Cricetulus griseus: one gene and its partners. The protein of the gene in region 1 interacts with the protein of each later gene in a pairwise test. Links are inferred from orthologs where the notes say so. Each region holds a gene or a part of one and is shown on either strand. Other genes may lie near its edges.

Region 1 (10,518 bases):
GTAAGCCGGGTGTGGTGGGTATGCCTTTAATCTCAGCACTGAGGAGGCAGAGGCAGGTGGATCTCCAGGAGTTCCAGGCCAGCCTAGTCTACACATCCAGTTCCAGGACAGTCAGAGATGCATAACAGAGAGACCTGTGCCCAGAACAACAAAAATTAAATAAAGTTAAATCCAAAACCAAATTTTGAAGGGCTGGAGAGATAGCTCAGCAGTTAGGGGTACTTGCTGCTTTAGCAGAGAGACCTATGTTTGGTTCCCAGCACTCACATAGTGGCCTCCAACCACCTCTAACTCCAGGAGTTCTAGGGGACCCAATGCCCTCTTGTGGCCTCCATCGACACCAGCCATATGTGGTGCATATAGAGGAGGGGCATCAAATACCCTGAACTGGAGTTACAGATGGTTGCCAGCCTCTGTGGGGGGTGACAGGAATCAAATCAGGGTCCTTTGCAAAAGCAGAGACCCCATTTCTTTTTTTCTTTTCTTTTCTTTTTGGTTTTCGAGACAGGGTTTCTCTGTGTAGCTTCGGAGCCTATCCTGGCACTTGCTCTGGAGACCAGGCTGGCCTTGAACTCACAGAGATCTGCCTGCCTCTGCCTCCCGAGTGCTGGGATTAAAGGCGTGTGCCACCAATGCCTGGTGAGACCCCATTTCTTTAAAAAGAACAAGTACTTACCACCACAGCCACAAATGGTTCCTGGAACTGCTGGTTAAGCATCTGTGTACTAACATCAATTCCAGAGAGCCAGCAGCCGTAACCAGGGTGGCTATGATACCAGCCAATTGCGTTTTCAAGGCGTCCAACCTAAAATATGAAAGAAAAATCTTGTTTGAGGTATGGTTTAATCTCACAGAAAGTGTCATTTACAGGCTTTATGTAGTAACACTACATAAAGATAACATCGTGTAAAGATTTTCTGAATAGATGATACATGTGTACAGTGTAAAATTATCAAGGTACAAGAACAAGGGTATTTAGTCTCTTTCCCATATCCTTCCCCCTCCTCTACCTGTTTCTTAGCTTAGATATTATCCCTCTATTATCTTACGTACTCTTACAGAGATATTCTATAGATTAACAAACATATCTGTAAATAGTTGCATACTACATACAACATTCTACTCCTAGCTACCTATATTTTAAACTGAACAAACAATTCTGGAACTGTTCCATGTAAGTAAATACACAGATAGCTTTTTTTGAGGTATTATATAATTTTTTTTTCAGATTTTATTTGAATTAGAAACAAGATTGTCTTACATGACAATCCCAGTTCCCTCTCCCTCCTGTCCTCCCCTACCAACCTCCTCCAACCTTTCTGTTTCCCCTGGATGGTGAGGCCTTCCATAGGGTGTCATCAGAGTCCAGATAGCTTATTTTAAGAAACTAATTTATTTTTATTTTATTTTGGTGTTTTTCCTGCATCTTTATCTGGGTGAGGGTGTTGGGCCCTCTAGAACTGGACAGTTGCGAGCTGCCAGGCAGGTGCTGGGAACTGAACCTGTATCCTCTGGGAGAGCAGTCTTTGCTTTTAACCACTGAGCCATCTCTCCAGCCCTGATAGTTGCTTTTTTTTTTTTTTTTTTTTTTTTTTTTTTTTTTGAGACAGGGTTTCCTGTGTAGCCCTGGTTGTCCCAGAACTTGCTCTGTAGACCAGGTTGGCTTTGACTCAGAGATCTCCCTGCTGCTGCCTCCCAAGTGCTAGGACTTTAGGCAGTGCATTCACTTCCACTGCCTAAAGAGCTTTTTTTCTTTTCAAGCTTGCCTACATAGTACATTAATAGATGCCCTGCCATTTATTTAGCTGGGTTTCTACTGAGGAATAATTAATTCCTAAATTTCTTATTTATTAGTTCATTAATCCATTCATTTGTTTGAACTCAGGGCTTAGGAAGGCAGACATGAGCTCCACCACCAGTTACACCTCCAGTCTAACTTCTATTGTCTAAACACAACTGACACTGACTGGAAATTTATTTCAGAAAGACACCCTCTCCCCTGTCTGCCACTATCTATATTATAAATCTCACCAGACTTTTAATATTTTACATAAAATTGTTAAATTTAAAATATGAAATTGAATGTGAAAAGGACACTTTTAAGTTCAGAAACCCAGAATCTTGAGATTCTTAAGAGTTATTAAAGTTTTTTTTTAAAGATCTTATTTATTTATTATGTATACAACATTCTGCTTCCATGTATATCTGTACACCAGAAGAGGGTACCAGATTTCATAACGGATGGTTATGTGGTTGCTGGGAACCGAACTCAGGACCTCTGGAAGAGCAGTCAGTGCTCTTAACCTCTGAGCCATCTCTCCAGCCCGAGTTATTAAAAGTTTAAGCAACAATATTTTTACCTGTTTGGCATTTTCTATGTACGCAGCCATGTACTCATATGCAGCAGCCTGAGCATTTACTCGGGTCTCAGTGCCTTCTACAGGCAAAGCGAAACTGTCCATGATGATCATGGTCTCACCATCCACTTTCCCAAGCATCAAACCCATCACTTCCAAGTTGCCTCCTGATCGGGCATGCATCACCATTTTCAGTAGGGCCAGCGCTGAGATTTTGCAGTATTTAAAGTAATGGTGACTACAAAACAAAAGTCACAATGTTATTAAAGTTTTCATTTAAATTACAATCTCAAAAGACAGCTTCTGTGAAAATAAAGAATAAGTACCAAAGGGATTAACAGTGATGGGAATGCCAAATGTGGGAGGAAAAAGAAAACAGCAAGTACTAGGTGCCTGGAAACAGCACATCAGAGGTTGTAACCCATCACCCCCAAGTAAAGAGTCTAAGGTAATTTTTAATTATACTATCGGAGGGAATACCATCAAATTCCATAGTTTTTTTTCTCCATTAACATGGGATTATCATATCTCTGGTTACTTTCTCAGGCCTAAATTTCTGTGTATGGTACATGTTCATCGGTGTGCCACCAGATGGCATATGGAGATCACAGGGTGTCCCCCCTCCCCTTTTTTTTTTCTTCTGCTTTTTGAGATAGGGTTTCTCTGTGTAGCCCTGGCTGTCCTGGAACTCACTCTGTAGACCAATCTGGCCTCTGGACTTTCAGTGCTGGAATTAAGGTGTCTATTTCAGCACTTACTTATTGCCCTTTATTTTATTCCACTTGATTCCCTCGGGACAGATACTAACTGGAAGCTGATTGTTATGCCTAGGCTGGAAGACCAGTTTATAGATCTCTGCTCTCCTTCCATCCAATGCTAAGGATAACAACATACATATCCCTGCATGTGTTTATACAGTTGCTGGGGATTTGAACTCAGGTCTGCATGCTTAACAATTAGCACTCTTACCCACTGATCTGGAGGACCTAAAATTTACAAATGTGGCTTCTGAAACTGATTCGCTTAGGTTTAAATCTTGGCCAATTAACAGCTACATAAGTAGGTATTTCTGTAAATAGGTATTTCACAGTTAGTATGAAGAGTACATGAAGCGCTTAGCTTAGTCCCTGCAGCACTAAAATCTAAGGTGCTGTTACCAGCCTTACTAACCCATCTCTTAACATACCCTCAGTGTGCTGAAGCTGTGGCTTCCTTGTGATATCATCGTGAAGGTTAAAAAGTAGATGTAATATCCCCACTTTTCCTGTGATTATTTTGTCATCATTGTATGGGATTAAACTATTGAACAACAGACACATTTTAAAACCACTGATGTAGCTTACGTGTTCAGATGAGCATAATTAGAGGAAAGTCTACAGTTTACATCAATCTAAAATGTGCCTTTTAGGAACAATATGTAGGTAATCTATGCAGGTCACTCAGCATCTCCAAGGCTTTTCCAGCTGCTGCTAGATTTCAACCACAAGCTGAAAGATACTGAGACCTGGTCTTGGAAACCAAGACAAAAATTAAAAAACCGGTTCATCTTCACTGGAGAAAAAGACAAAGACAACTATTACTGTGCTCTCATTACATAGGCTCATCTAGAACTTTTTAATAAATTACCTCATAACATCACCAATAGCTAGGCTTGTTTTTATCTTACAGATAAATTTAGATATTTTAGTTTCCTAAGACCAGTCAATGTTTTAATTGACAGCTGTGAGACCTGATTTTCAGTCGGTTGCTCCTGGGTTCATTGCTATAGTATGATCATGAGGTGAATTTCTGAATGTATTTGCTTGTTTTCCTATTTACTGAAAAGGAATCAAAGTACAGTACTGGATTTTCATGATTACTAAAAGACATGAGAATCTTCAGGCCAGTGCCAGGCTCACATTAACTACTCAATAAGCACTGTGAAATAGAATAGACAGTGGAAGCTAGCTTTGTTAAGACAAAAAACCTGGAAACAGTGATTTGTTTAGACAGCATCTTTTTTGTGATTTTTTTTCAATGTCCTTAACACAATCTGTTCTAAAGAAATCTTTTGACTTGTCATCAGTCCCAGAGATACATGGATTTGGCTAGCTTTAAACCCTATTTCATAATTCCTGGTTTACATGAATCGTTGTAGTAGTATTTTAGAGAAGTGGTAAGGGACTTGGTATGTCCATAAAATGGTCACAGAAAAAAAAACTGCTAAAAGAGCTTATGGCTTCTTTGTTCTGAGATCAGTGGCCTGCTCATTTGACTTCTGAAAACAGCTGCGCTCTTCAGTTTGGGATTCACTGAAGGCTGCAACAGGGTGCATGTATCCACCAGGTTCAAGACAGAGTGTGGGAGATTTATAAAAACAATCCTGTTGAGAAAGTGATACCCCAAGTCAGTTCTTTACACCCTCTGGAACAAGTCTGTTAAAGAAACTTTCTGAAAGGGGAATCGAAGCAGGCCCCAGAGGAGGGGTTAGGCTCTACCGACCCGATAAGGCAGACTAAAAACACCGTGGCGGGTATTCTGTCGTCGCCCCCCAGAAAGCCACCCCGCTTGGGTCTCTTAAACTCCCGCCATCCCTTCCCTCCCTTGCGTCTCGCCAGGGACCTCCTCACTCCTTAGTCCAGGGTTTCGCCGCCAGGATTTCTTGCTGTTGTTTCTTGTCGTATTTGTAGATTTCATCGATACTCTGCGCTTCCTGCATGTTGTTGGCCAGTTCCCAGGTTTTCTGGGCCATACCACTCCCGGAAGCCGCCATGGCCGAGGGACCGGAGAAGTTGTCGCCTCCACCACCGAGATGCAACTTTCCTTCGCTGGGCCTCCGCGTGCGGGCTTTGCACCTTCCCCACCGAGGGTGCACACTCACTAGCCTCTCAAGGCAGCCATGACACTTAGGACCGGAGGTGACGTTGGTCCAGACCATTCGGAGGGTCGGGGCGCGTCGGCGGCGCGGCGGTACAGGGACCGCCGAGAGGCCGGTGAGCTAAGAACAGCTTGTCGGATGAAACGAGGATATGCTGCCTCATAAAACTGTGTGTGTGAGCTGAGAGGGAGACAAAGTTTCGGGGTGGGAATGGTTCAGCCTTCCGCGCCGGAAGAAGGGCTTGTTGACATGCCAGGAAGCAATCGGCCGTCCCTGCCCGTACTGCGCAGACTCAGCCTCCGCCATATTGAGAGTGGGCGGAGACTAGGTCTCGGACTTTTTTTTTTTTTTTTTTTTTTTTTTTTGTGTGTGTGTGTGTTTAGTTACTTCAAAAAATAGTTTTGATTACTAAATGTTTCTAGGAAAACCGAGGTGTAAGTAGCTCTGGATGTTGATTTTGGAGGGGAAGTTAATTAACCGTGACAATCTCTTTTAAGATAATTCTTGGCGTAGTGGAAAACCTCCCGGGTTTGAGGTTATTATTTCGCTTTTGTGTTTTCGCTGTTGTTGACCGGAGGGCAGCAAAAGTCCCCGGTTGCTAAGGTTAACTTTTTGACGTGTTTATAAAGTAACATGTATACAAATGTTAGGAGCTGTGGCTGCCTTAGTACTCTATTTTCATATAAAGTTTGTCTCCAGCTCTTGTGAACGTTGTTTGTTTCAGTACAGAATTAATCTCGGCTGTTTCTTTCCGCGGTTAAAGTGAAACTTGTTCCAGTCGTCATTGTTTTTAGGTTTTCTTCCCTCTCATTCCCAACCTCAAATGCTCACTAGGTTAGAAGTTAAAGGCATGCATGAAATTTGTGTTTGTTTTAATACTAATGTAATTATTTTTTGCTTATGAAAAAAAAACATAGCTCTTTGTAACAGTTCCTACAGACTTCTTCAGCGCCACTGTCTCCTTTTAGACACCCCCCCCGTCAGCTTTTCATTCTATTAGTACTTTTTCCTTGGCTTAGTAATATAATTCGTTGTTAAGTGTTGTTTGAAATGCACTTCCTGATATTTCTACAGTAAGGCACACACTATTCTTTAAAAATCACAGCTCAGAGATGCCTTCCATTAACTCTTTGAAAGCAACTGCTCCTTCCACAGGACCTCGAAGGCTTTGTAGCCGCTTGACATGGACGTTTTGTTTTGCCCAGCAAGCTTTGTGTTGTATCCTCTTTTATTGCAGGTTTTTAGCAGACAAGTTAGCTAAAAACAAAAACAGATTTGTTAACTCTTCGCCACAGCTGTTGGTGTTGACACTGGTTTCAGAAAAGATGGAGGAATTGGCTTTTTAACTACCTTCTAAAGTCGAGTGTTGTTGAACCTGCCTGTAATCCCAGACGTTGGGAAGTGGAGGCAGGAGGATAAGATAGTTCAAGGAAAGCCTTACATACATAGCAATTTGAGGCTAGCCTTGTCTGCAGGAGACCCGTCTCAACAAGTCACGGAGGAGGGGTTAAAAAAAAAACAAAGCAAGAACCAAAGAACCATATAGGACGTTGTTCCACTCTTGTAATCCCAGTACTTGGGAGGTGGAGGCTGGAGAATCAAGAGTGTGAGCCCTTCCCCCGGGCCAAAATAACAAAACCCAAGTTAAATAGAACCCCCTTCCAGTATAACTTAGGACACACTAGGGACGTTAGAATACATTAGTTGTATCATTAGTTCCGTTTTCCTGAGAAGCTAGACATCCAGCCACTGAAAACGTACACAGTGTAACTTGTTGAAATGGTAATGAAAGCCCAGGACAGAGTTGACCGGACCTGCTGGGCTGGGAGTAATGCCTGTGAGAAGAATGCTGAGAGTCCTCCTGTCAGTGCCACACAACCCGTGACAACTGTGCAGGCCTTCCCGTGCTGGGCGTCTGGGATAGATTGATCCTTGCAGCGGCGGCCACGTTACATTACCCACACCCCCATCCCTGACACTGTAGCGAGTGCATCGCGTGGCCTCCGGGACTGCAGGGGGCGCCCTCGGCCGCGTGGCCTCGACCCGCAGCCCGCAGGGGCGGGGCCGCGCCTGGCGGTTGGTGGAGGGCGGGCGGGGGGCTGGGCCTGGGAGGCGGAGCCAGAGCGGGCGAGCGGTTGCTTGGTCAGCGCCGGGGGTCGCGGTCGTTGACCGTGGAACCGGGTGCGGCTCCCCACGCGTCGGTGGGAGTAAGTCAGTGGGTGGCGGGCGTGGGAGCCTGCGGGTTGGGTCCGCGCCCGGGTCTGGGTGGCCGCGGCTTGGCGGGGGCTCGAGCCTGCCGGGCGGAGCAGGGGACCTTCGCGTCTTCGCGGGGGCGCTGCGGAGGGGGTCTGGAGGCGCGGGTCGCGAGGAGGCGGCCTGGGCTCCGTCCCAGGTGCGGGTCTCGCGGCTGCCAGTCCGGGGGCGGTGCCCTGATGCAAACGGGCGGTGGACTCCCGGGTAGCTGCCCGACCTGCTGCCCCGGGGTGGTTGAGAGCCGGTTGCCTGACAACGCGTTGACGCTTTCCGAGACATCAGCTACCCGCGACGCCCGCAGACAGTGCTGGCTCTCCCGCGCCTTCTCTCTCAGGCAGTCGCGCCGCGGCTGCGCTAACCCAGAGTGCTTGCACCTCCGGGGCTGGTTAATGTTTTTACACTCTGCAAGTCAGACTTCAATCTTCTCCGTATCTCAATGAAAACCTGCTGTGATTTATTTCTTCTTACTGTGATTGCTTGATGAACTAGAACCGTCTATTTCTTGATTTTAGTATTTTTATTTGGAATTTGAATATACGTTTTTGTTGTTTTTTTTTTTGTTGTTGTGTGTGTGCGCGCGTGTGTGAGCGCGCGGGGTGGGGTGGGGTGGGGGTGGAGCTCAGGCCACGACATGTATGTGTAGGTCAGAGGACAAAACTTTGGATTAGTTCTGTCTCCTTCCACAGGCTTTATAGAAAACCAGTTACACGAGAAGAAGTTGAATTTTATGTGGAAGATGACTTGTCATGTTGATATGCAAAAAGGAGCCCCGAGTAAAGTAGGGGGAGACACTGTCTTTTTTCCCCTTATTTTTATGTGAAATTTCCGGTGTGAAGTATCTGCTGACATGCTCCCATTGAGAAGATCTTTTGGATCTCCTTGCCCAGGGGTGATCTGGGAAGGGAGCAGATAGGTTTAGATAAAACAAACACTTTTCCTCGAATGTGGTTTTCATAAAAGCTTTGCTTAACTATTACAAACTTGAGCAAATTCCATACTATCATTTTGGTTGTGAGCCTAGCCTTTGATGGTTGAGCCATCTCACCAGCCCTCCACAACTGGGTTTTAAACATCATTCTGAGTATACTGTCATGTACTTCCTGAGTAGTAGACCCAAGAGTTTGAGTAGGAGACAGAAGTGTATTAGCAATTCCGCATAGCCAAAGCTACTTCATGTATGCCTGCCGTAACTGTTAAGGGTGTATTGATAAAAGCTCAAGCTTTAAATGCTGTCATGTATTTATTCACTCCCTGTTCTCCAACCTCATGCTCTTCCCTCAGCAACATAGCATATGCTTTTAAGCAAAATTTGGAGTGATTTGTTAAAGTTTGGATGTACCTGTAGTCAGTTCATGTGAATGTCATCTGCTAAGGAGAAGACAACTGTGAGGCCCTTTCTTGGTGGGTTGACGAGGAACTTTGTCTTTCCTTTTGTCTGCTTATAGTTCTTTCACAGGGGCCTTCCCTTGCTTCCTGCCTTATTTCTCTTATTTCTCTCTGAGGCTCCGTTCCCTAGTCCTCTTTTCCTGCTGTAGAGTCATTTTCTGCAGGCTGACCCCCCCATAGTTTTAACATTTTTGGGGGTATGATATATTTGAGATAGGGTCTCCCTATATAACCTAAGCTGTTATTCACACTTCACCCTCCAAAGTACTGGGATTATTAATGAGCCACCATACCAAACAAAGTCAGCTCCCCACCAGGTGTTGAGGATGGAATCTAGTGGCTCACACCTGCTAGTCAGTGATATCCTGACTAAGCTACAACCCCAGCCCAGTAACAAATAGACATACATACCAAAACCCAATGTCAACAACAATAAGAATGCTATTTTTTGGACAATGTCTTGCTATATAATATGATCAGGCTATGCTGGGACGTACTATATAGCTGATGAAAGCTCCGGACATAATTAAATTGTTGGTATCTTTACTGAATCCTTTAAAACTATCTCATTTGCTTCCCAAATCCCAGACTGACTAATCTGTCATTTGTGGCAGGGGATGTGATATAAATAGTAAGTCAAGGATCATGTATTTTATCCACCTTCTCTACAAATCTAGCATCCCTTGCAGTCTAGAATATATCCTGGTTTACAAGGGGAGTCATGTTCTATTTCTCATGCTTTCATATTGGGGAGAATATGTGTACTGTCTTACATTTCCCCTTGTGTTGACTTGGATTATGACAATCAAGGATCAGGTAATAATGATTTAAATCTCACTATACTTTACATCTAAAGCCTTTCCCTCCCTTTCTCTTATCACCCTGTTTCCATTTTTTTCTTGCCTTTTTCTTTTTTTGTGATCTTAAAATAGGTAAAGTAGGTTGAAAAGGTTAAACCTTTGGAAATTGATTGAGACTATTATGCATGCTAAGTACATGTTCTGTTTCTGAGCTGTACCTCCAGTCTGGATGCTTTTTAAAAAGTGAATGTTTAATTATACAGAGACTATGAAAATACAGTGACAGTAAAGTAACTGGCATAGTGATAAGTATCAGACTCTGTTACATATGTGATGAATTTTTTCATAACACTGTAGTAAGTATTTCCATTTTATAAATAAGGAATCCTAGACATCGTTAAAGAACATATTGTTTTTGTTAACCAGAATCAGTAAATGATGAATAATGGGTTTCTAGTCCAGGTCTTTTGTAGAAACTATTTTCCTGAAAACTATTTCTTATCTGCATACTATGATAGTAGCTACTAGGGGAAAGTACCTGATGATAATGCCATGGAAAATGTAACTGTACATTTTATAGAGTGTCTGGATAGTTTGGAATCCCATTAACCTTCTTTTTGCTGATTTGGGGGGTGGAATTTAATCCTTAAATTATAAACGTTCTTACTGTGTTTTATATCTAGGTCTTGCCTACCAATCTAGTCCCCTTTATCCACTCAGTAATTTGTGCATAATTTTGTGGCTGAATTGGTCTTGTATAAATTGTTGCACACTTTTAGGAATAAAGAGAAAAGCAGGGTTTAGGCCTTTGTGTTGCCAGGTACTGCTTTGGGGCTCACTGTGGTGTCCTGTTGACAATAAACAA
Region 2 (10,311 bases), on another chromosome or scaffold:
GCTAGACCTAACTGGTCTAGGAAGGACCACCTCCCTTTAAATGAAATGAACCTGGTGGATTTATGATCTGGCAAAGGGAAGGAACTGCGCATTCCTCCTTGGTTACCATACCCCCCTCTCCCATCTGGAATTTAGTCCCTGAACCCCTTGGAGAATCACATTCACAACCCTGTGCGCGCTTCCAGGTTTTGGGAACCGGAAAAACGAAGAGAAGGCTGAGGAAGGGGACTGGATTAGACCTAAGGATAAATTGAGGGCTGGGGGAGACCAGCGGTGACCTCTCAAGGTCTATTGGTAACAGCCGGCCCTTCCCCCGCCCGCAGGTGGGCGCGCCTAGCCATGTGACGTCACCCCAACCTGCGGCCGGGGGAGGGGCTGGCGGAGAGGAGGGTGAGGGGCGATGGGCAGGGGGCTGGTGAGGGTGGGAGACAGGGATGTTAGGAAGATGGGGTACTGGGAAGGGGCTTGCTTAGGGGCCACTCACCCAGGACACGACCCTCAACAAGGTCTGGGGACGCCGCGCGAAGCTCACGGGATCCAAGGCAGCTCCCGCACGGCCCGCGCCGAAGGAGGCTCCCTCCATGGCGGGACCTGTGCCTTCTGTCCGTTTGTCCCGCCGACCTGCCCGAGACCGCCCGGGGCTGCTGCTGAGGCTGCTGAGGCTGCTGATGCTACGGATGCTGCCGCTGCCGCTGCCGCTGCCCCGCCTCCCGGGAGCGCGCGTCGGCTGCGGCGGGGGCGCGGGCGGGGCCGAGCCAGCGCCCCCGACTGGGTCCACGCGCTGGGGGCCTGAGCCCTGCCCTCCGTCCTTCCTGCTCACCGTTCCCTGTATGACAGAGTCGGAGATGAGGACATTCTCTGGAAGACTAAACGAGGTTTAGTCATGGGTTTTAGAGGTAGACAAGAGAAGGTAAAGACTGACTGAGCTCAGATCTTGCCACGGCCAAGAGCATCGATAGGACAAACACATCATCCTGCTTTTCTGACCAGGAGGACCTTTTGGTGAGAATGTAATGGGAAACTGAGGCATAGTATCATGCCCTTTGTATTCAGGGAGAGAGACCCAGCCCCCAGCCCCTAGTCTTAGAAGACCGGGGGTAAATCACTGGGGGCCTTTCTCATTAGCCCTTTAATCATGAGAGAAAATCAAAGAACACCTAAGGAAAGAAGACCCTGACCTCTCTCTGGCTGTGAATGAATAAAATATCAGCTCAGAGATGTTGTACACACTTGTATTGCCTGTGGCTCACATCCCCACTGCATTATGGCTTCTCCTTCACAGGCTGTACCTTCCTAACAGGGTCAGGTGAGAAGAGTGGTGTCTGCCTTCAGGGGAACTTGTCTGGGAGGCAGACAGGGTCCACTGTGGCCAGCAGGAGTGAAGGGTGAACATCTCTGTTCTCTTCTGGCTGGGTCATGTCTTCCATAAACTCTCTCCATCTCTGGTCTCCAGGATTGATCTGTAGCTATTTAATCCTGAGTGCAAGGAGGGGAGAAGTAGCAGAGATAAGATCTTGTCCCAGATGTTATCTAGTTACCCTGGCCCCTGCTGGGAATCCCACAGACCCACTTTATGCTCTTTCAGTGCCAGGATGGTAGGAGACCGAATGGCTCTACCTTCATGGTCACAACAGAAGCTGGGGTATAGTAAAAGATCATGAGTGAGACCCCTAGTTGTCTCTCTGTCTTCCCTGGGACCAGAGCCAGGTATAAGCAAAGTTTACACATATTAAGACTATGCAGTGCCAAGCACTTCACTGTGACCTGTTCATTCGTCAGAGGGAAGTGTAGCTGGAAGTACCTGGTCCAGTCCCTCAGGAAACCCACTGGTTCTGGTATGAAACACACTTCAGCCTAGTTGGACACAGATGCAGTCCATCAGTTTGGGCAACTCTCTGATACCTCAAATCACATTCCATCCCATCCTCTTTTAGCCACGGGCAGAAGATGTTACCACCCATTTCTCCCTTTTCCTTCATAATTTTCTTCAGCACCCAAAAATACAGCACATTCTTTGAAAAACAGTTCTTTTGGGCTGAGAATATAGCCCAGTGGCAGAATGCCAAACAAAAAACTTTTGGTTACACTTCTGTGTACAGGAAAAAAAAAAAAAAAAAAAAAAGCTATCTAGCTGGGCGTTGGTGGCGCACGCCTTTAATCCTAGCACTCGGGAGGCAAAGTCAGGCGGATCTCTGTGAGTTTGAGGCCAGCCTGGTCTCCAGAGTGAGTGCCAGGATATAGACTCCAAAGCTACACAGAGAAACCCTGTCTCAAAAAAAAAAAAAAAAAAAAAAAAAAAAAAAAAAAAAAGCTATCTATTACCCATCTATTTCTAGTATCTCTCTCCCTTCCCCCCCTTTCCATCAAAACCCCCAGTATGATCAAGCCCCTACCCTGCATCTGGCCAGGCACTTCCACCTGCATTTCAGAATCAAGTTTGACTCTCCTGGTTCATCCATACAGCATATACCTCCAATGACTACCTCATAGCCCCATTCCCATTGCTGGGAATAAAACCCAGGGTATTATGCATGCCAGGCAAGCATTTCCCTCTGAGCTACATCCCTAGCCATTATGAACTTCTTGAAAGTCCCTTTTCTGTCCTCCATTTGCCAGATCTGTGGGCTTGTGGGGCCTTGGGACCCTTCTCCCTCGGTTGACAGGGTCTCACTATGTAATGTTGGGATTAAAGGTGTGTGCCATCATGCTGCACCCTTAATTCCTTTGTGTTGCCTCTCGTGCTCTGTATGTGCTGGCAGCTCTCAAATGCCAGCTCAAACTATAACCTTCCTTTACACTAACTACAGTTCTACTTGTCTTCTCCTGGATGCCCTGTGAACAGGGACAAAATGAAGGTTTTGATTTTTTAAAAATACATGTATTGAGTTATTGGTTTCCCCTCTCTCATTCTCAGGTCATTCATACTGACCTGGAACTCAGTATATAGACCAAGCTGGCCTCAAACTTCACACAGAGATCCAACTACCATAGTCCTCAGTGCTAGGGCTAAAAGTAAAGACATTTGTATGTGTTTTGAACCAGGCAGTGGTGGCACATGCCTTTAATCCTATCACTCAGGAGGCAGAGGCAGGTGGATGTCTGTGAGTTCCAGACCAGCCTGGTCTACAGAGTGAGTTCTAGGCCAGCCAGGGATACACAGAGAAACGGGGGCGGGGGGGGGGGGATCAACAGACAGGGACAACAAATAAATGTTAAGAGTGCTTGGCCTGAATGTATTTGTGTGGGCTTTTGTACCTGGTACCCATGGAGGTCAGAAGGTGTTGAATCCCCTGGGACTAGAATTGCACATGGTTGAATCACTATGTGGGTGCTGGAAAAGTAGCCAGCACAAGGAAGTCATGTGCAAGCTAGTCCTCACCCACAAAAGGGCCAACACAGGAAAGAATGATATCTTTATGCTGAGAACTGGGGCTCCCACTGCTGCTGGGATGCTCTGGTTGGGAGCCTAGCCCAAGGACAGATGGAGCTGAGCAGATTCAGAAGAGCCCAGCAACTAGAAGGTGTACACTCAGAATCCAGAAGCCCCCTTGTCATCTTCAGCTTCTTTCTCACCATGAAGAGCTTGTCTCAGCTGCTCCATAGTGACTTCTGCCAGAACTTCAGACAAGAGGACCCAACTAATCACAGACAAGCAAAAGCAGGCCTGTCCATCACTGTAATTCCCAGTACAAAGCACACAGAAACCAGGCCCTAAGTCACTTCATTTTATTTTGGTCTCAAACTCTCAGAAGTTCAGGATCATCTGATCCTGGATCTGCTGACAGGCATGTTGTCATAGCTGTAGACCATGTGCCACAGGCAGTGGGCAGTATGGTGGGTACACCCTAAGTAAAAAGTCCTACTAGAGCTGGGGACAGAGTACAGAATAGACAACTCAGTACCATGCTTCAATTCTGAAATGGCACAGAGCTGCCAGTTCTGTAGGCACCCCTGGTTATGCAGTAGGAAGCCAATGGTCCACCCCATCTTCCTACGGGGCAGCTATGTCCCAAGTGTATAATGGGCAAGAGGCTGCATTATAAAGGGTATAGGGTAGCCTCTCTCATCTCTAGTCCCTGGGCACCTCCCCTTCTTAGCCCTGTGGGTAGGGTTCCCATTGGCAGTGTCCTAGGGACCCCTCTCCAAACACGGGAACAAGCTTTGGCTCAGATGCACTTTAATCAGCGGGCTGTCCCTCCAGCCAGGTTGCCCATGGACCCTGGCTAGATGTCCCACATGCTCTGCTCACAATCTTCTAGTCACAGGAGCCGTCCTTCCAGCCGTCACGCCATCGCTCATCTACCTTTGAACAGTCAAAATCAGGCTTGCCCAGCTTCCGATTCACCTCATTGTGCAGGCGGCACAGCCACTGGCTGAAGGAGACTCGAGTGCTTGTGTCTGGCTGGTTCCTGCCTATCCTTTGTGACAGAAGCACAGGAAGAACATAAGATGTTGACTCCTTTGTCCTTGCTAGGGCCCAGGACAGAGAGCTGGGGCACTGCTTTGAATTAAACTTGGGGATGCCTCTATGCTCTAGGGGGATGTGAAAGCCAAGAGCAGGGTTGACTCTGGAGTTTCCTGGACTTGTGCAACTCCCAGGGCTGCTCACTCGCTCACTTGACTTGGCAAGAGCCCAGAATTAAGATTATAGTAAAGCAGGCGACTTTACAACCTTGTAACAATCAGGGAGCCTCACCCCATGGTCTCTAGCCCCAGGCAGAGTATAGACAGGTGGGGCCTGGCACAGTGTTTCTTGGCACCAGAGGCCTAGTTCAGCAAGAGATACCCTTCATTCCTAACTACCCAGGCTTCAAATAGCAAGTGCAAGTGCCTAATAGGTCCAACCTAGAAATACCTATAAAGAACAGATTAAGTTAAGCCAATGAGTGAACCAAGTTTTTTTTTTTTTTTTTTTTTTTTGTGTGTGTGTGTGTGTGTGTGTGTGTGTGTGAGTGTTGGCTAGACCAGGCTGGCCTCGAACTCACAGAGATCCACCTGTCTCTGCCTCCAGAGTGCTGGGATTAAAGGCATGGGCCACTAACGCCAGACTTTCATTCCCATTTTTAAAATCGGTAACCACACCGAGAGATTAGAGAAGTTAAGCAACATGGAATCTTAGCTAATCTTCCTAAAAATTCTAAGGCTAACAATTCACAGACCTAGGCTCTGAGGAGGAAGGAGAGGGCTCCCATGACCCAACATTCGTTTGAGTGGTCCCTCTTCTAGCAACCTGTCACCTCTGCATCTATTTTTCTAGTCCCCTCTCTATGGCATCCGCCAGGCCCCTTTCAGGGCCTTACTGGCAGAGGTAAGGCACACTTACCTCTTCCTTATGTCTTCCGCACACTCCTTGCAGGGGTAAAACTTGGAAAATATATGTATGAACTGGGCCATATCTCGCTGTTGTTCTGGGGTGGGCATGTCCGGGTAATAGGCGGCCAACGTGTGGAGAAAAGCCCAGGTGTGGCGACCCAATTCCTCCCGATCCTGCGGACAGTCCTCCCTAAACTTGATGTCCCGCTGCAGAAGTAGGCCGACTACGGGTCAGTTCATTCTTCCCCAACCAGAAGCCCACAAAATTCCAACCCAGTGGCAGATTGCTTGTGTTGCACGCCAGAGGCCTTGGGTTCGGATTCCCAGTATCACCAAAAGAATAAAGGAAACAAGAATGCTCCCCTTTACAGTTGGCAGCCTAGTAAACTGATCGGCCAGCCAGTGGCTGAAGGCTCAAAGTCCGACCCTAGGGGTGTGTGTGGGTGAGGGGGTGGACATGTTTAGGCATAGCCAACCCTGAGGAAACCCGGTGTGGGGCGGGGGACCGGGACTGGGCGGTCAGGCGGGGTATCTGCACCTTCTGCTGGGTCCGCATCCACGACTTGAAGTCCACGCAGGCTCGGCACGGCGGCTTCCCGTGCTGCAAACCTTGCGGCCCCGGGGCTGAGGCAGAGGCCGCGGCGTCCCTATGCCCGGTGCGGCGGCCCCGCGCGTCAGTCACCAAGTCGTCTGTCATCTCAGAGCGCGCGCCGCCGGGCAGGAAGGAAAAGAGACTGCTGCGAGAGGCGCCCTCGGGCTCGCTGGGCGCCGCCATCTTGCCGGCGTACAGACGGCGGGGCCAAGAGGGCCTCCAGAAGGCCGGCAGGGCGAGCGCGCACGCCACTGCCAGCGCGCGGCGGCTGGAGCGGGAAAGGCGGCCGGGGGCCGAGCTCACGCTGGGGAAGGAGGCGGAGCCTGGCGGCGGGGCGGGGCTGGGGGTCGAGGCGGCGGCCCGGGTCTCGGCGGAGTCGGAGGCCCCGGCGCCGGAGGAGCCGGAGCGGGAGGCACGGGCCGAGGCGGCATAGGGGGATGCGGCTCGGGCTCTGGTTGTCCGCCGCGGGCCGGGCGTGCGTGGTGCATGGGGGAGCTCGGGTTTCCTCCCGCAGTGTAGTGAGTTGTGGAAGGTGCGCTGCGGCCCCGCTGGGAGGTCGGGCTGAGACGAGGTCTGAGATGCTTCTCTCGTCGCCCCCATCGCTCGGTTCAGACCTTTACCCGCTAGCGGCCAAGGTTGGGGCCTTTCTGGCGTACAACGCGCCCACCTACACGCTTCTGGGTGCTTGGCAACGCGCGGCGGGGCGTGGCCTCACAGAGCAGGCAGCGCCAATGGCCTGGGTCGACTTTTGCCCTAGTTACTGGGCCCCGCAACTTTGGGAGAGGCCTGGGACGCGTCCTATAACATTGGCGGGGGGAGGTTATTATGCCTATTTCAGCCTCAAGAATTCCTTTTTTTTTTTTTTGAGACAAAGTCATGTAACTTGGACTAACTTGGAATTCTGTTACGTAGCTGCCACCTCTTCTAGTACGTGACTTAGAAGCCTGGGCCATCACAGGAAGAATTCTTTTCCCTCTTCCATGTGTTCATTTATTCATTCTGCAAATATTTGTACAGTGGTACTCTGCTCCAAGCGCTGTTTCCGGCACTGAACAGAACAAGGAACAAGCTTCCTTCCCTAGCCTCTTTAGCCTTTGACCAGTAGTGAAGATGGGGAAAACCCAGTCACAGAAATAAATTTTATTTACAAACTGATGAAAGCTGGGTATAGGGTGTGGGAATATAGCGCTCCTAAATTGGAGACCCTTAAGCACAGGCCCCATAAAATGAGAAATCAGCTCAGGCTATCGCATTTTGCAGAAGCACCAAAGGCCACTGGGGGCAGGACTCTGGGAAGGTAGGAGGCCAGGATCCAGAGCTGGGCAATGGCCCACCAACCATGCTAGAAATTGGGATTTGTTCTAAAAGCAGTGGGAGACGTTGGGCAATTTGGGACAAAACTGTCTTGGCCTGATCCCATTTCTACTTTGCAAGATTTCTTCTATTTTTGTTAGAGTGATATTTTTGACAGAGTTTCTCTGTGTAGCCTTGGCTGTTCTGGAATTCGCTCTATAGGCCAGGCTGATCTCAAACTCAATAGATTCTCCTGCCTCTGCTTCCCTCCCGAGGGCTGGGATTAAAGGTGTGCAGAAGCAGATCTCCGTGAGTTCAAGACCAGCCTGGTCTACAGTGTGAGTTCCAGGACAGTCAGAGCTACCCAGAGACCCTGTCTCAAAAAACAAAAGTGTGATCACCACTGCCCAGCTTTTTATTTATTCTTATGTGCACTGGTGTTTTACCTGCATGTATGTCTGTGTGATGTCAGATCCCCTGGAACTGGAGTTACTGACAGTTGTGTGTTGCCATGTGGGTGCTGGGAATTGAACCTGGGTCCTCTGGAGGAACAGCCCAGTGCTCTTATCTGACTCATCTCTCCAGCTGGGTGGATTAAGAGACAGGGAGGAACTTCTTACTAGACAGAGTTGGGGCTCCTCTGTGTACATCTCAGTGAGAGTAAGCAGGTGGGTGATGAGAGGGGCTCACAATTCCTCTAGGTCCCTAGTGGTAGGTACTCAACCCTTTACTACTGCTCTCATCTTCCATTGTCTCTGAAATAGCCTGTATGTAAGAACCAGTTGCTTAAGGAGATGTCAAGGTTTGGCCAAGGAAGGAGGTAGGTTTCATGGCCTAGTTACATGGGTCTCAACCTTAGCTGCTCAGGAGCCTGAGGCAGGAATATCCCAAGTTTAAAGCCAGCCTTTGCAAGTTAGCTAGCAAAACCCTGTCTCAACCCTCTGCCCCCCCCCCAAAAAAAAAAACCTAACTTAAAAGGACCCAGGTGTGAAATACTTGATTCAGATGATAGCAATGTATAGCCCCACAGGCAAATTCAAAAATCAAGCTGTTAGACACACCCTGGGAGTTACAGCAGGGTGGGGGAAGAGGCAGAGGGGGCAGGTGAGGTTGAGGCGGTACTTTAGGAGGAGCTGCCTACCTCCATTGTTCCCTTGGCTGAGGGAGAAAAGGAGCCCCAGGTGGCAGTTCCAGCCCCTTAGAGTTCTGTTTCAGTACAAAGGGCTTCATTTTTTCCTCCTACCTGCCCTGGCTTACCCCTCCCCCTAGCACAGTCCTGCTGTGATGAATTCTCTTAGATTTTGTGCTTGAAGAATAACCAGGAAACTGAAAGGTTTCCAGGTGTGTATGCTCTGCAGGGACAGTTTAGGGCAGTGTTGGGAAATTCCACTTCACTTTTTCCGGCTGCTCAGAGCCCCTACAAGCACCCTGCAGGAGGCCACAACCATGGCGGGTCCTAGACACCCAGTATCAGCGCATGCTGTAGCCCTGGTGCAGATGGAGCGACTTCAGGTAGGACCATACAGCCCCATCCTCCGCTACAAAGAGGCAGAAGGGTAGCTGACAAAATCTTAAGAGAGACGGAAACTCAATCTTCCCTCATAGACATTTGCCTTCTCTGTGCACTGGTCAGACAACAGTGACTCGTCTGTTCGCCGGAGCTGGGATGAGTTTAGGAAGCTCCAGGTAAATAACATGGGACTATTTCAACAGGGTGGCTCATCCTCCAATCCAGAGGCCAATAGCTACATGACCTCCCTTCCTGCCTGTAGCTCTCTCAGGGACTCTTTCCTCCCTTTGGGGGTTCTCTCCACTTTCAGGGACTGACACCCATTTCTTCCCCTCAGAAGATCCTTAAGAAAACCTTCCCAGTGGAGGCGGGCCTGCTCCGGAGATCTGAAAGAGTTCTTCCCAAGCTTCCTGGTCAGGCTTGCAGGGGTCACAGGGGTGGTCACAGGGGTAACAAGTGTGGGTGAGAAGTCCCAGTGTGTTCTTGTGACACCCGGGCAGATGTTCCACTGCTGACACGTCGGGGGCATACTGGCCGAGGTCTGGTACGTTTGCGACTGCTGGACACCTATGTACAGGCACTGCTGGCAACCTCAGAGCATGTATTGAGGAGCTCAGCACTCAATGACTTCTTTGCACCAAAACCTCTGGATCTGAAGCCCATGCTGCCTCCTGGCAGGTGACTAATGTACCCTACTCCCAGCCCATGTTCTTGTTGGAAGGGCAGATGAGAAGCTGGGCTGGCCTATGTATAGATGGGGAAGGGGAATTCCCATCCTTTCTGCTTGTTTCTCACGTGTGTTGGCTGCCCTGCCCAGCCTGGTGATCTTGCCCACACAAGAGGAGCCCTTATCCCAACCTGGAAGCAGCCTTGCCATTCATAACCTGGAGGCTCAGAGCATGCGCTGTCTACAGCCTTTCTACACCCATGACACAAGGGACAGGCCTTTCCACACACAGGCTCAAGAAATTCTGGACGTATTACTACGACATCCTTCAGGTAGAACCACACAGTATTAAGAACCTGGGGAAAACTGGGCAGTGGTGGCACATGCCTTTAATCCCAGCACTAGGGAGGCAGAGGCAGGAGGATCTCTGAGTTCCAGACCAGCCTGGTTTACAAAGCAAGTTCAAAATACAGAAGACTTGCTCTCTGATCAAGATGGGTGCAGGCCTTAGCATTTAAGCCCTTTCCTGGCCTCTTCAACAGGCTGGTGGCTGGTGGAGAACAAGGATCAGCAGACAGCCTGGTTTCCAGCTCCCTACCTGGAGGAAGTAGCCCAAGGCCAGGGCCAGGAGTCAGACCTGGCTTTGCAAGGCTGTGGTATGAGTTCACCCCTACCATAAGCTCACCACTAAAAATGGACCTTGTGGCAAGGCTGAGACCAAGCCCAGGAGGGAGGTGATAGTGGGGCACCAGGCATATGGGTGCTGCTTACAGTCAAGAGAAAGTTCAAGTGGGTTTCAGAGCAGTCCAGGGTATCTAGAGGGAAGATCAGGGAAAGGTCAGGACTCTGGCCTTGCAGTTCTTTAGTGATCTCCAAACACCTACCCTAGGGACGCAGTTCTGTGCTACCCAGGCCTATGAGGGCAGTCGCACTGAT
Region 3 (9,727 bases), on another chromosome or scaffold:
GCAGGGGGCCGACAGGTGGTGAGCCTTGCTCAAGGCACTGATGGCTAGCTGCTGAACTGTGCTGTCCGCCTGTCCAGCCACGGGTGCTGCACTGAGGCTGCAGCAGGGTAGTGAGCTGGCCTGGGTGTCACCATCACAGCTCGCCAGAAGACTGCCCCCCCTCCCCACCACCCCCCTCCCCGTGCCATCAAGGAGTCAGCTGAAGAACATGCCCTGTAATCCAGTGTCAGGATGCGCAGCCAGGAGGGGGCTCTCTGCTCATTAAAGGGACACACAGCAAGCAAGTCCAGCCACACACAGCAACTTCCTATTGTGCTTAGTGAGACCAAGGCACATAGTCACACAGTGTGCACTCCCTGACAGGAAATGTCTAGAGGGGACTGAGGGCCAGGCATCAGAACATGTGAGTTCCTTTAGCTAGAGGGGACAGGTTCTCCCAGCTCTGGATGTACTAACCACTGGGCGGCAGGGCCTCCAAGAAGCAAGCTTCAGAGTTTAGCCGTTTCCAGTCACAAAATGTCCACACTCCCCGACAAGCTGCTTAAATCCTAGCACCTGGCACTCTGCACAGGCTGTCCCCACACCAGGACTCTGCCCCGACCCCCAGTGGCTGAGGTGGCCACTCAAAGGGCTGGATGTCTCCGCAGGACCCCTGGCTTCCTGTGCAGGTGAGGCCCTAGCCCCAGGGATGTCACCAGGTTGAGGAACAGGCTGCTGGCAGTGACTGGCTCCCTTTGCACCCCAGCCCCACTTATTTTCGTGAGGAAATGCTGGGAAACCCAGCAGCTGGCCAATGCCTGCCCCAGAGAGGAGCTTCCGGCCTTCCAGCTGGCAGCAACAGGTGCAGCTGCCTTGGCCTTTAGGGTGAGACGCTCACTGCTTGCAGCTCTGTCCCCAGGAAGCCTAGGACCATCTGAGGACTGCTGACCACAGCATGCCCCGTCCAGAGGACAGCTGGTGCAGAGAAAGGCCCAGCAGGATGGCAGCTGGTCCCATATCTGTCCCTCCCAAGATAGCTGCCCTGTCCCGTACCGCTGATGGGGCGTCCAGGCGGCCTGGGCCTCGGCGAGACACTATGGGGCTCTCCGTCTGCGCCATCGACCACAGGCCGGCCAAAGCTGGCCTCTAGTTCCTTGGCATCAGGTGGGGGGATGGGGTACCTCCCGATGGCCAGCTCCACCAGCGACAGTCCCATGCTCCAGATGTCCGACTGCACAGAGTAATGCGTGCCCTGTAGCCGCTCTGGCTGGAGAGGAGACAGGTACAGAGCTGGGGTTGGCAGCAATAGGACAGGGACCCTACTAAGAATGTGTGCAGAGGAGGCCAGGACACTCACAGACATATAGGAGCGTGTTCCCACAAATGAATTGGCCATGGAGTCAATCAGCTGGCCGCTCACCCCGAAGTCACACAGCTTGATCTCACCGCGACAGTTCACCAGGATGTTGGAGGGCTTCACATCTGGAGACACGGCAAGGGGTGAGGCTGAGCCTGCTGTGGCAGCGTGCACACGCACGCACTCACACCCACTTACCTCTGTGCATGATCTGGTGCTTCTCACGGAGGTATGCCAGGCCTCGGAGTACCTGCAGGGAAGAAGCACGGTAGCCAGGTCAGAGGTAGGTAACCTCTGTGCCGACAGCACCAGCTTTAGGCTGCAACGACCTTCCCCAACCACAGGAGAATAGTGCCATGGCAGCTGAGCGCCACATTAAATACCCAAGCCCCACACAGACACCTGTAGGAAGCACATGGTCACTGTCTATATTTGAAAGCACAGGGCCAAGGGTAGCCTCAAACTCACTGCAATCCTCCTGCCTCAGCCAACTGTTGAGATGACCAGTCTGTAGCCCTATCTGACTTGGAACTCACTATATAGACCAGGCTGCCTGTCTCCTAAATGCTGGATGGGTGCTCGATCCATAGCCAGCTTTGTGTGGTCATGGAGGGGCTAGCAGAGAACCCCAAAAAGATGAGGACTTGACCTGCTCAGTCTCCTAGGGAGAAGCTGCCGGTGGAACACCAGCAGCTGGCAAACTCACCGCAATGCTGACCTTCCCCAAGATGTCCTCAGGGATCCGCTTGGCCTCCTTGAGCACCTGGTCCAGTGAGCCACCATCCTACATGCAGAGATGGCAGCAGCTGAGGAGCTGGCCTTGTCAAGAAGCCCAACCACCAGCAGCCTCGGCTCTCCACAGGTCCCCAGGTAGGGGAGTGGTGTGGGAGGCTGTGGAGCCCTGAACCTGAGTGATGGTGGTGACAGACCACACCTCTACAAGAGCCAGCTCCTTGTTTCAGAAACAGTGGGGAAAAGGTGGTGACACTGGAGTTCTTTGGACAAGATGGGACAGGCCTGACTCACAGCCATTTGCCCTCAGGGGGCTGTGCCCCACAGATCACCAATATGGCTGTTTCTCACACCCAGGGCACCAGCCTGATTATACTCAACAGATAAGGAAATACTGTCCAGGTTGTCACACCTGTGTGTATTTCCAAACTGACACAGGAAAATAGGACCTCAGAAGATGAGGTCAGAAAGGGGCCTCTCCTGTACTCCCCTGCCACAGTGCTCAGAGGGACACACAGGGCAGGTCCAGAAAACCCAGCCGTATCTGGAGCTGCTAGGACACACAGGTGGACTATCACCCAGGTGGCTGGCCTCCCAGTGGGCCTGTGCAGCTGTTTAGAGTCACTGGAGCCCAAGATTGGAGGTGGCCCTGGCTGGGCACTGGGGAAAGGACAGGGCTGCTGTCTACCGAGGGCAGCAGGGGTGACTGCTTCTGTCAGGCCACACTGGGCCATGCGGGGTGCTGAGGAGGGCCTGGCCTATCTGCTGAGGCCTAACTGGCCTCTTCCCAACTCTACACCAGGAGCTCCCTGAGTGTGACAGCTATACACATCCCTAGGCATGGCTGAGAGTCCCTGGGTGTGAGCTTGGATGATCATAGCCTGGTCATAGTGTCCAGGGCAAGATGCATAACTTCAGATACTACCTGCAAGTCCCTGCATGTGCCCCTAGTGCTCTATAGACTGTCACCATCACAGTGTTGTGGATTATTTGTTTAACTATACAAAGATGTGTTGCATTTGTTTATGTTGCAAAATATTTGTTTAACTATGTAAAGATGTGTTGCTGTTTTTCCTTACCTGCCTAAGGCCTAATTGGTCTAATAAAAAGCTGAACAGTCAATAGCAAGAGAGGAGGTATAGGCAGGAAGGACTTTGAGGCAGGGAGAGTAAGTAGGAGGAGGAATTTCAACTTGGGGAGGCAGGACACCAGGGACCAGCCAGCCAGCCATGGAGTAGGACATACAGAATGAAAGCAAGGTAAAGGATGAATAGAAACAGGTTAAATTAAGTTAAAAGAGTCTAGTGGGATAAACCTTAACTAAGGCCAAGCCTTCATAATTAACAGTAAGTCTCCATGTCTTTATGTGGGAGCTGGTTGGCAGCTCAGAGAAAACGCCAACATCACAGACAGCACCACACATTTTCTTTTTTGTTGTTGTTTTTGTCTTCCTTCCTTCCTTCCTTCCTTCCTTCCTTCCTTTCTTCCTGAGACAGGGTTTCTCTGTGTAGCTTTAGAGCCTGTCCTGGAACTTGCTCTGTAGATCAGGCTGGCCTTGAACTCATGGAGATCCTCCTGTCTCTACCTCCTGAGTGCTGGGATTAAAGGCGTGCGCCACCACTGCCCAGCTGTATCAGATATTTTCTTGTGAAAGACTCAAACACAGATGAAGCAGGCTGAGTCGCAGAATCTTCTGCTCTCCCTGACACGCCTCTACAGCTGCCACACACACTGTGGAGGACAGTGTGAGCACCCCAGCAGGCTCCAAGCAGCTGTGTCATACCTAAGGACACACAGCAGCAGCTCCTCTTGTACAGTAAGTAACAGCTGGTTCTGCAGTGGGAGCTAGGAAGGTGGCCTCTGAGAGGTGGTCCTGGTGGGAAGTATGGCCTTGGAAGAGGATGGCAGGACCCCACTTCTCCCTCCCCTTCTTCTTGGTGGGATGAACAGCTCTACCCCACAGGAGCCTTTTCTTAAGATGGGGCTGAAACATTACATATCAGAGACAAGCGCTCTGTGTACACAAGCATATAAGAGGAGACAGAGGTCCTGTCAGCCCAAGGGCAGGCCACAGCACATGTACTGTTATAGCCTGGGTGTCATCTTGCCCTTCCCAAGGTCTGGCTGAATGTGAACCACCATAAAGTGGGACTCAGAGCTGCACCAAAGGCCACAGCTGCATCCTTCTCCCGTGATTGACAGGTTCTCTGGTGTGCTGTCTAGCACAAGCCACTAATAGAGAGGACAGCCCACTGCTGCCTGTCCCTAGGAGCTAAGCAGGTGGCTCAGTCACTGAGTGTAACCTCTGGAGCCAAGCACAGTTTCTGTGGCATCCTAAAACTGCAAGTGGACTAGAGCCAGGACCAGTCAAATGACCACCCAACACCACCCCCAAGCTACCCTTCCTCCCAGGACACACCCATAGCAGGTGATCTACGATTTACAACCAAATTCCATCTGCAAGGAAGGTCAGAGTGGCCTTCTTTTCAATCCTTTCAGACAGGGTCCATATGGTCTTGCACTCCTCTCTTGCTGCCTCTGCCTCCCTAGACTGAGATGGTAAAAAAAATACCACTGCTTGGCTTGGTTTTGTTTTGTTCTGTGATAGTACCTCAAACTCAAGGCAATCCTTCTGCCTCTGGGAGCCTCATATATCAACACAGCTGCCCAGTGTGGGAGGTACCTGCAGACTTGGAGCACTCCTGTAGCACTGTGCCTAGCTGGGCTGCCAGCCACTGTGGCAGTGAGAGTCAAGTTCTTTGACACACAGGATAGAGTCCCCTTCCTACAGAGGACCAGGAGGCCTTTGACGACACATCTATGAAGAGATGGGAGGAGGGGGCCACACACCCGGGCCTGCTCCTCCCTGAGGCAAACAGGGTAGGCTCAAGGGAGAGACAGGCCAAGGCCATGTGAGGGGCTCCCACCAGCTAGGTGCATCTAAGCTCACATTCACTCCCTGCTTCCCATACAAAATGGTCCCCGGGTCTGCACACTGGCAAGGCACAGCTGAGAACCACAGCAGCCGCCAAGCCTTGCAGGTGAGTCTCAGGGGTCTGGCACCTGGCACAGCAGGTTGGGGAGCATGGCAGAGACAGGGTAGGATTCTCACTGTCCCCCTTCCATCCTGCCCAAGTCTGGAGACCCAGACTGTTATCTAGAGAGTGAAGTGCAGGCTCCCATCTGAAGCTGGGGCCCACGTGCCTGAGTGCATTCTCCCCAGCTCAGAGCATGACAAACAGCTACTAGAAGAGGAACCCACTTCCCACAGTGGGCACATGTGTAATGTGGGGACCACATCCTGCCCTGGGTCCCAAAGACCACAAATTCATGCCCCACTCACCACTGCCCCACACCCCCGCCGGGAGCAGTGGGTAAGGAGGGTGGATGGGAACAGAGAGCCCTCACCATGTGCTCCATGCAGATGCTGATCTCGCCATCACTGTAGAAAGCCCCATAGAAGCCCACAATGTAGGGTGAGTTGCACTCATGCAGCACCTGCAGCTCCCGGATGATCTGGTTGCGGACGGCTGGTTTGATCTCCAGATGGATCAGCTGCAAGGGGGAAGAGTGGCTGTTGAGTGAGGGGAAGGGTATTCTGGCCACAAAGCCCCCACAGACCCAATCCTGGGCGTATGCTTGTGAGAAGGGAAGACATCACCTACATGGCCTTACATGAGTGCCCAGGTACCTTTGTTTCCAATGCTTAAAGTGGGGAATATTAGGGTTCCCAAATGGTTGACAGGCACATAGCATGATTGCCCACACACTGGAATATTATTCACCATGAGCAGGAGTGCAGCTGACACTCACAATGTGGTGAGACCATAAGGACATCATGGTCAGTGAGAGACCCAGACACAAGACTCCACAAGAAATGCCTAAAACAGGCAAATCCACAAATGGGCAGAGGATTCATAGGTGCCTGAGATAGGCTAGGGTAACAGCCCCCGGGGACGCAATGCTTTTAGTCTTTCAGTAAAACTGGCCTAAATGAAGATTTTTAAAAAAAGGGAAAGTAAGGCCAGGCGATGGTGTTAGTCCCAAACAAGGGTACTCGGCACTACACCAACATCCATCCCAACAGGCCAAAGGAACACATCGCCATGATGCTCCCTCCTCCCCTGGGTCAGGCAAGGAGAGCATCCCAGCACACACATACCAAAAGGGGTCTGATTCAGGGGGCACCTCATCTGAGGACTTGCTCCAAATGGCCACTTGGGCAGAGCCTGATATAACTGATCATTGGAATGGGCTCTTTAAAAGTCAGTTCAAGCCAGGCGTTGGTGGCGCACGCCTTTAATCCCAGCACTTGGGAGGCAGAGGCAGGCGGATCTCTGTGAGTTCGAGGCCAGCCTGGTCTCCAGAGCGAGTGCCAGGATAGGCTCCAAAGCTACACAGAGAAACCCTGTCTCGAAAAACCCCCCAAAAAAATAAATAAATAAAAATAAAAAGTTAAAACCATGATGGGCATGGTAGTGCACACCTTTAATCCCAGCTCACAGAATGCAGAAACAAGCAATCTGTGTGTTCAAGGCCAGCCTGGTCTACAGAGTTGAGTTCCAGAACAGACAGGGATACACAGAGAAACCCTATCTTGAAAAAAACCAAGATAAAATAAAATAAATAAAACCACAAAATGGAAGCCCAGAATGGGGACACACACTTGAGGACCCTGCCCTCAGGAGGCTCAGGAGTCCAGGTCAGCTTCAGCAACAGAGCAAGAGTTTTGCCAGCCTGGCACAATGGCACACGCCTTTAATCCTGGCACTCAGGAGGCAGAGGCAGGCAGCTCTTTCTGAGTTCAAGGCCAGCCTGATCTACAAAGTGAGTTCTAAATAACCACAACTATGTAGTAAGACCCTGTCTCAAAAATGTTTCCTCAAAACCACACTAAGCCAAACCACAACAGAAAGCAAGTAAAACACATGAGAATGGTATTTTACACACAAAGGATGAGCATCCCTCATCTGTGAACCACAAACATTCTAGAACCCCAAAAGCTGAATCAGGCCTAGTACAGTAGCCCAGACTGGTCTGGACCATCTCATGGCCCTGCCTCACAAACACTAGGCCCAACCAACACCTGTGCTAAGCCCATGCCTTCTGCCTCAGTCCTACTAATTAAGAGTGTTTGCACATGGGCCTGTGGAGTAGGACTGCATCTCTTGGTGCTCACATTACCCGGGCCTGTGGAGGTCCAGGTCCATTCTGAGAACCTTGGGCAAGATAGAAGCGAATGCAGAACAGAGACCCGGAGTGCATCAGGCATTCCAAGTAGGGCAAGGCCACAGATGAGGGAGGCTCTCAGTCACCACAGAGCTTCTTGGATACAGTTAATCTGATGCTGGTGGGACATCACAAGTTCTGAGGTGGAGGAGGAAGCACTGACAGGAATGTGGACAGTGCAGTGAGCCCCCACAAGCATGCCAACCGCCCTGATGAGAAGCCAGGGGCAAGTGTTACCACCTCCATCTTGTGTGGACATCCTGGAGGAGGCACATGAAAGGCTGTCATCTCTTTACCTGATGCAGAAACTTCTCTGCCCTAGTCCTGCTGGGTAGGGACTAGCAGCTGAGGGTCTGTTTGGTTATCAATGAGTTGTACTGCCCCCAGTTTCCCAGAGGACATGGAACTGCATGAAAACACCCGAACTGCCCCTGGTCCAGGCCTGACTGTAGGTCTCTGTGTGTCCCCTGCTGGAAGTGTGGCCAGGCCTTGAGCAGAGCCATCCTCCTCTGTCAGTGAGATGTAGAGATGGGATGCAAGGGTTGGATCTCACTTCCTTTCTGACTAGAAACAGAGTCTGCAAGATGTGTACTGCCTACAGTGCAAGATTCAGGAGGCTCCACCTTTGACATGTCATGGCAGCCAGTCCAGAGCCTGGACCATGAAATGTGGATGTTTCCAAGAGCATGCAATCCTAGCGCAGCCTTAGCCTCACTCTCACTGTGCCACAGGTCTGTCACCAACTCCCAACAACCACACACACCAGCTCTGCACATGCTGCCCTTGGTAGGGATCAGTTGGCATGGAGACATGGCCTCTGGGTCACACAAGTTCCAGGCAAAAAAGCCACTGGCCATGGAGAAGCAGCTTCCAGTCCAGGTTTGTCACAGCCCTACTTGAATTCTGCTGACCCTATCTGGCTCAAAGCACAAGGTGCCTGGGACTATAATAGAGCAAGGATGTCACTGGAGGCTGGACCAGTCACAAACAGATGGAGCGTGCAGACATGTTGGGCCTTCTGTATGGTCCATCATGGCAGATAATCACGTGACAGAGCAGGCATGCTGACCAAGGGAGCAGTGGGGACAACTTTTGAAGTAGCCCCATACAGGGGTGACCTGCATCCAGATGTCTGTCCACACACTCTGCACCTCTGATGCAGCCAACATGTCAGGGAGCTCCTGGGTTCCCACAATGACTCGGGACTCCTCTTCAGGTCCCTGCTGCCCTCGGAATGCCACAGCAATCCTCTGCACTAGGCAGTTGGAGATTCCAGGGAAGAGAGAGGCACACTGAACAGGAAACCCCGGGCAGGGAAGATGTGGCTCCCTTTGCTCAACAGGCCACTCTTTCAAGACTTCTAGAAACACCAGAGACCGATGTACAGTTGTCACAATTGGCGGTGTCCTTATCTCACCTTTCCATACCTTAAGGAGACTCTTGGCACTAATGGAGAGGAGCCAGCAGGCAGGCAGAGGGGCCCCCTCAGCTGGTCAGAATTCTGCAGAGTGAGGACAGCTCAGCCTCTTGCACCTCATTGGCCAAAGCCCTTGGGGCTCAGCAAACACTCATTCACTAGCCTCCTTGTGGCTGGAATGGAGGTCTGCTAGGCTGAGGCTGTGAGCTTTCAAATTAAAGAAAAGCAGGAAACTGAACCATGACAGAGTGGTCCTCATCCAACCATGAGGAGGGAAGCAGGGACACTGCTCCAAAGTGGCCTTCAGGGCTACTCTGAGGCCCCAGCACAGAGGCAAACCCACCATCACACTGTCCACTCTTCCTCAGTGGTCAGAGCTTGCCTGGTTTACTGAGCCCTGGGCTCATTCCCAGCATGGCTCCAAATTGGATCAACCCTTCTGCTGTACGAATGTGTACATCTGGCAGTCCTGCTTCTCTGGAGATCAGACTGATGAACCTGTTTAGTTTTCCATGTAGGATCTTATGTAGCACAGGCTGGCCTGGAACTCCACATGCAGCTGAAGATGACTTTGCACTCTTGATCTTCCTGGGACAACAGGCATGTACCACACACTGGGGATGGAACCTAGCTCTGCCCACTGAGCCAAGGCTACCACCACGGACTAATAGACATGGAAACTCCACATGTGGCCTTGTTCTAGCTAGTGGCCAGTAGTTCACAGTCCAGTCCTGGCAATAGTTTTGTCTTGGATGAGGAAGGACCTGGGGTCTGATGCATGCTAGGCCAGCACTCCCCAATACAGCACATCCCCAGATCCAGAATTTGGCAGGGGGAAGCAATTCCCTGAGTTTCAGGACAGCCTAGTCTGCATAGCAAGATCTAAGCTAGCCAGGGCTACACAGTGAAACCCTGCTCCAGCATCACATGACTGAGAAGCTGAGCACAGCACAAATGCCCACCCTGGCCTCCTCACCTTTCTGGCCATGATGAGGCCTGACGGCTTATGCTGG

What was found.
Region 2: the proteins of Cops5 (region 1) and Gfer interact in a two-hybrid assay, tested with the Homo sapiens proteins (2 studies listed by BioGRID). The link is inferred for Cricetulus griseus from reciprocal best matches to the Homo sapiens genes COPS5 and GFER.
Region 3: the proteins of Cops5 (region 1) and Map2k2 interact in a two-hybrid assay, tested with the Homo sapiens proteins (2 studies listed by BioGRID and IntAct). The link is inferred for Cricetulus griseus from reciprocal best matches to the Homo sapiens genes COPS5 and MAP2K2.

The regions. Positions count from the first base shown.
Region 1 is NC_048595.1:150,137,940-150,148,457, reverse strand, and holds the start of Cops5 (COP9 signalosome complex subunit 5), read right to left. Parts: upstream 5,445-10,518; 5' UTR 5,275-5,444; coding exon 4,967-5,274; intron 2,596-4,966; coding exon 2,361-2,595; intron 806-2,360; coding exon 677-805; intron 1-676. UniProt on the Homo sapiens protein: Probable protease subunit of the COP9 signalosome complex (CSN), a complex involved in various cellular and developmental processes.
Region 2 is NC_048600.1:44,281,096-44,291,406, forward strand, and holds Gfer (FAD-linked sulfhydryl oxidase ALR), read right to left. Parts: upstream 6,201-10,311; 5' UTR 6,089-6,200; coding exon 5,852-6,088; intron 5,521-5,851; coding exon 5,324-5,520; intron 4,419-5,323; coding exon 4,256-4,418; 3' UTR 3,711-4,255; downstream 1-3,710. Other genes in the region: Noxo1 (NADPH oxidase organizer 1), read left to right, coding at 6,343-6,437, 8,611-8,710, 8,804-8,884, 9,019-9,121, 9,209-9,386, 9,526-9,707, 9,918-10,031, 10,265-10,311.
Region 3 is NC_048598.1:101,891,249-101,900,975, reverse strand, and holds part of Map2k2 (dual specificity mitogen-activated protein kinase kinase 2), read right to left. Parts: coding exon 9,691-9,727; intron 5,624-9,690; coding exon 5,477-5,623; intron 2,121-5,476; coding exon 2,043-2,120; intron 1,587-2,042; coding exon 1,535-1,586; intron 1,462-1,534; coding exon 1,337-1,461; intron 1,247-1,336; coding exon 1,033-1,246; intron 1-1,032. UniProt on the Homo sapiens protein: Catalyzes the concomitant phosphorylation of a threonine and a tyrosine residue in a Thr-Glu-Tyr sequence located in MAP kinases. Activates the ERK1 and ERK2 MAP kinases.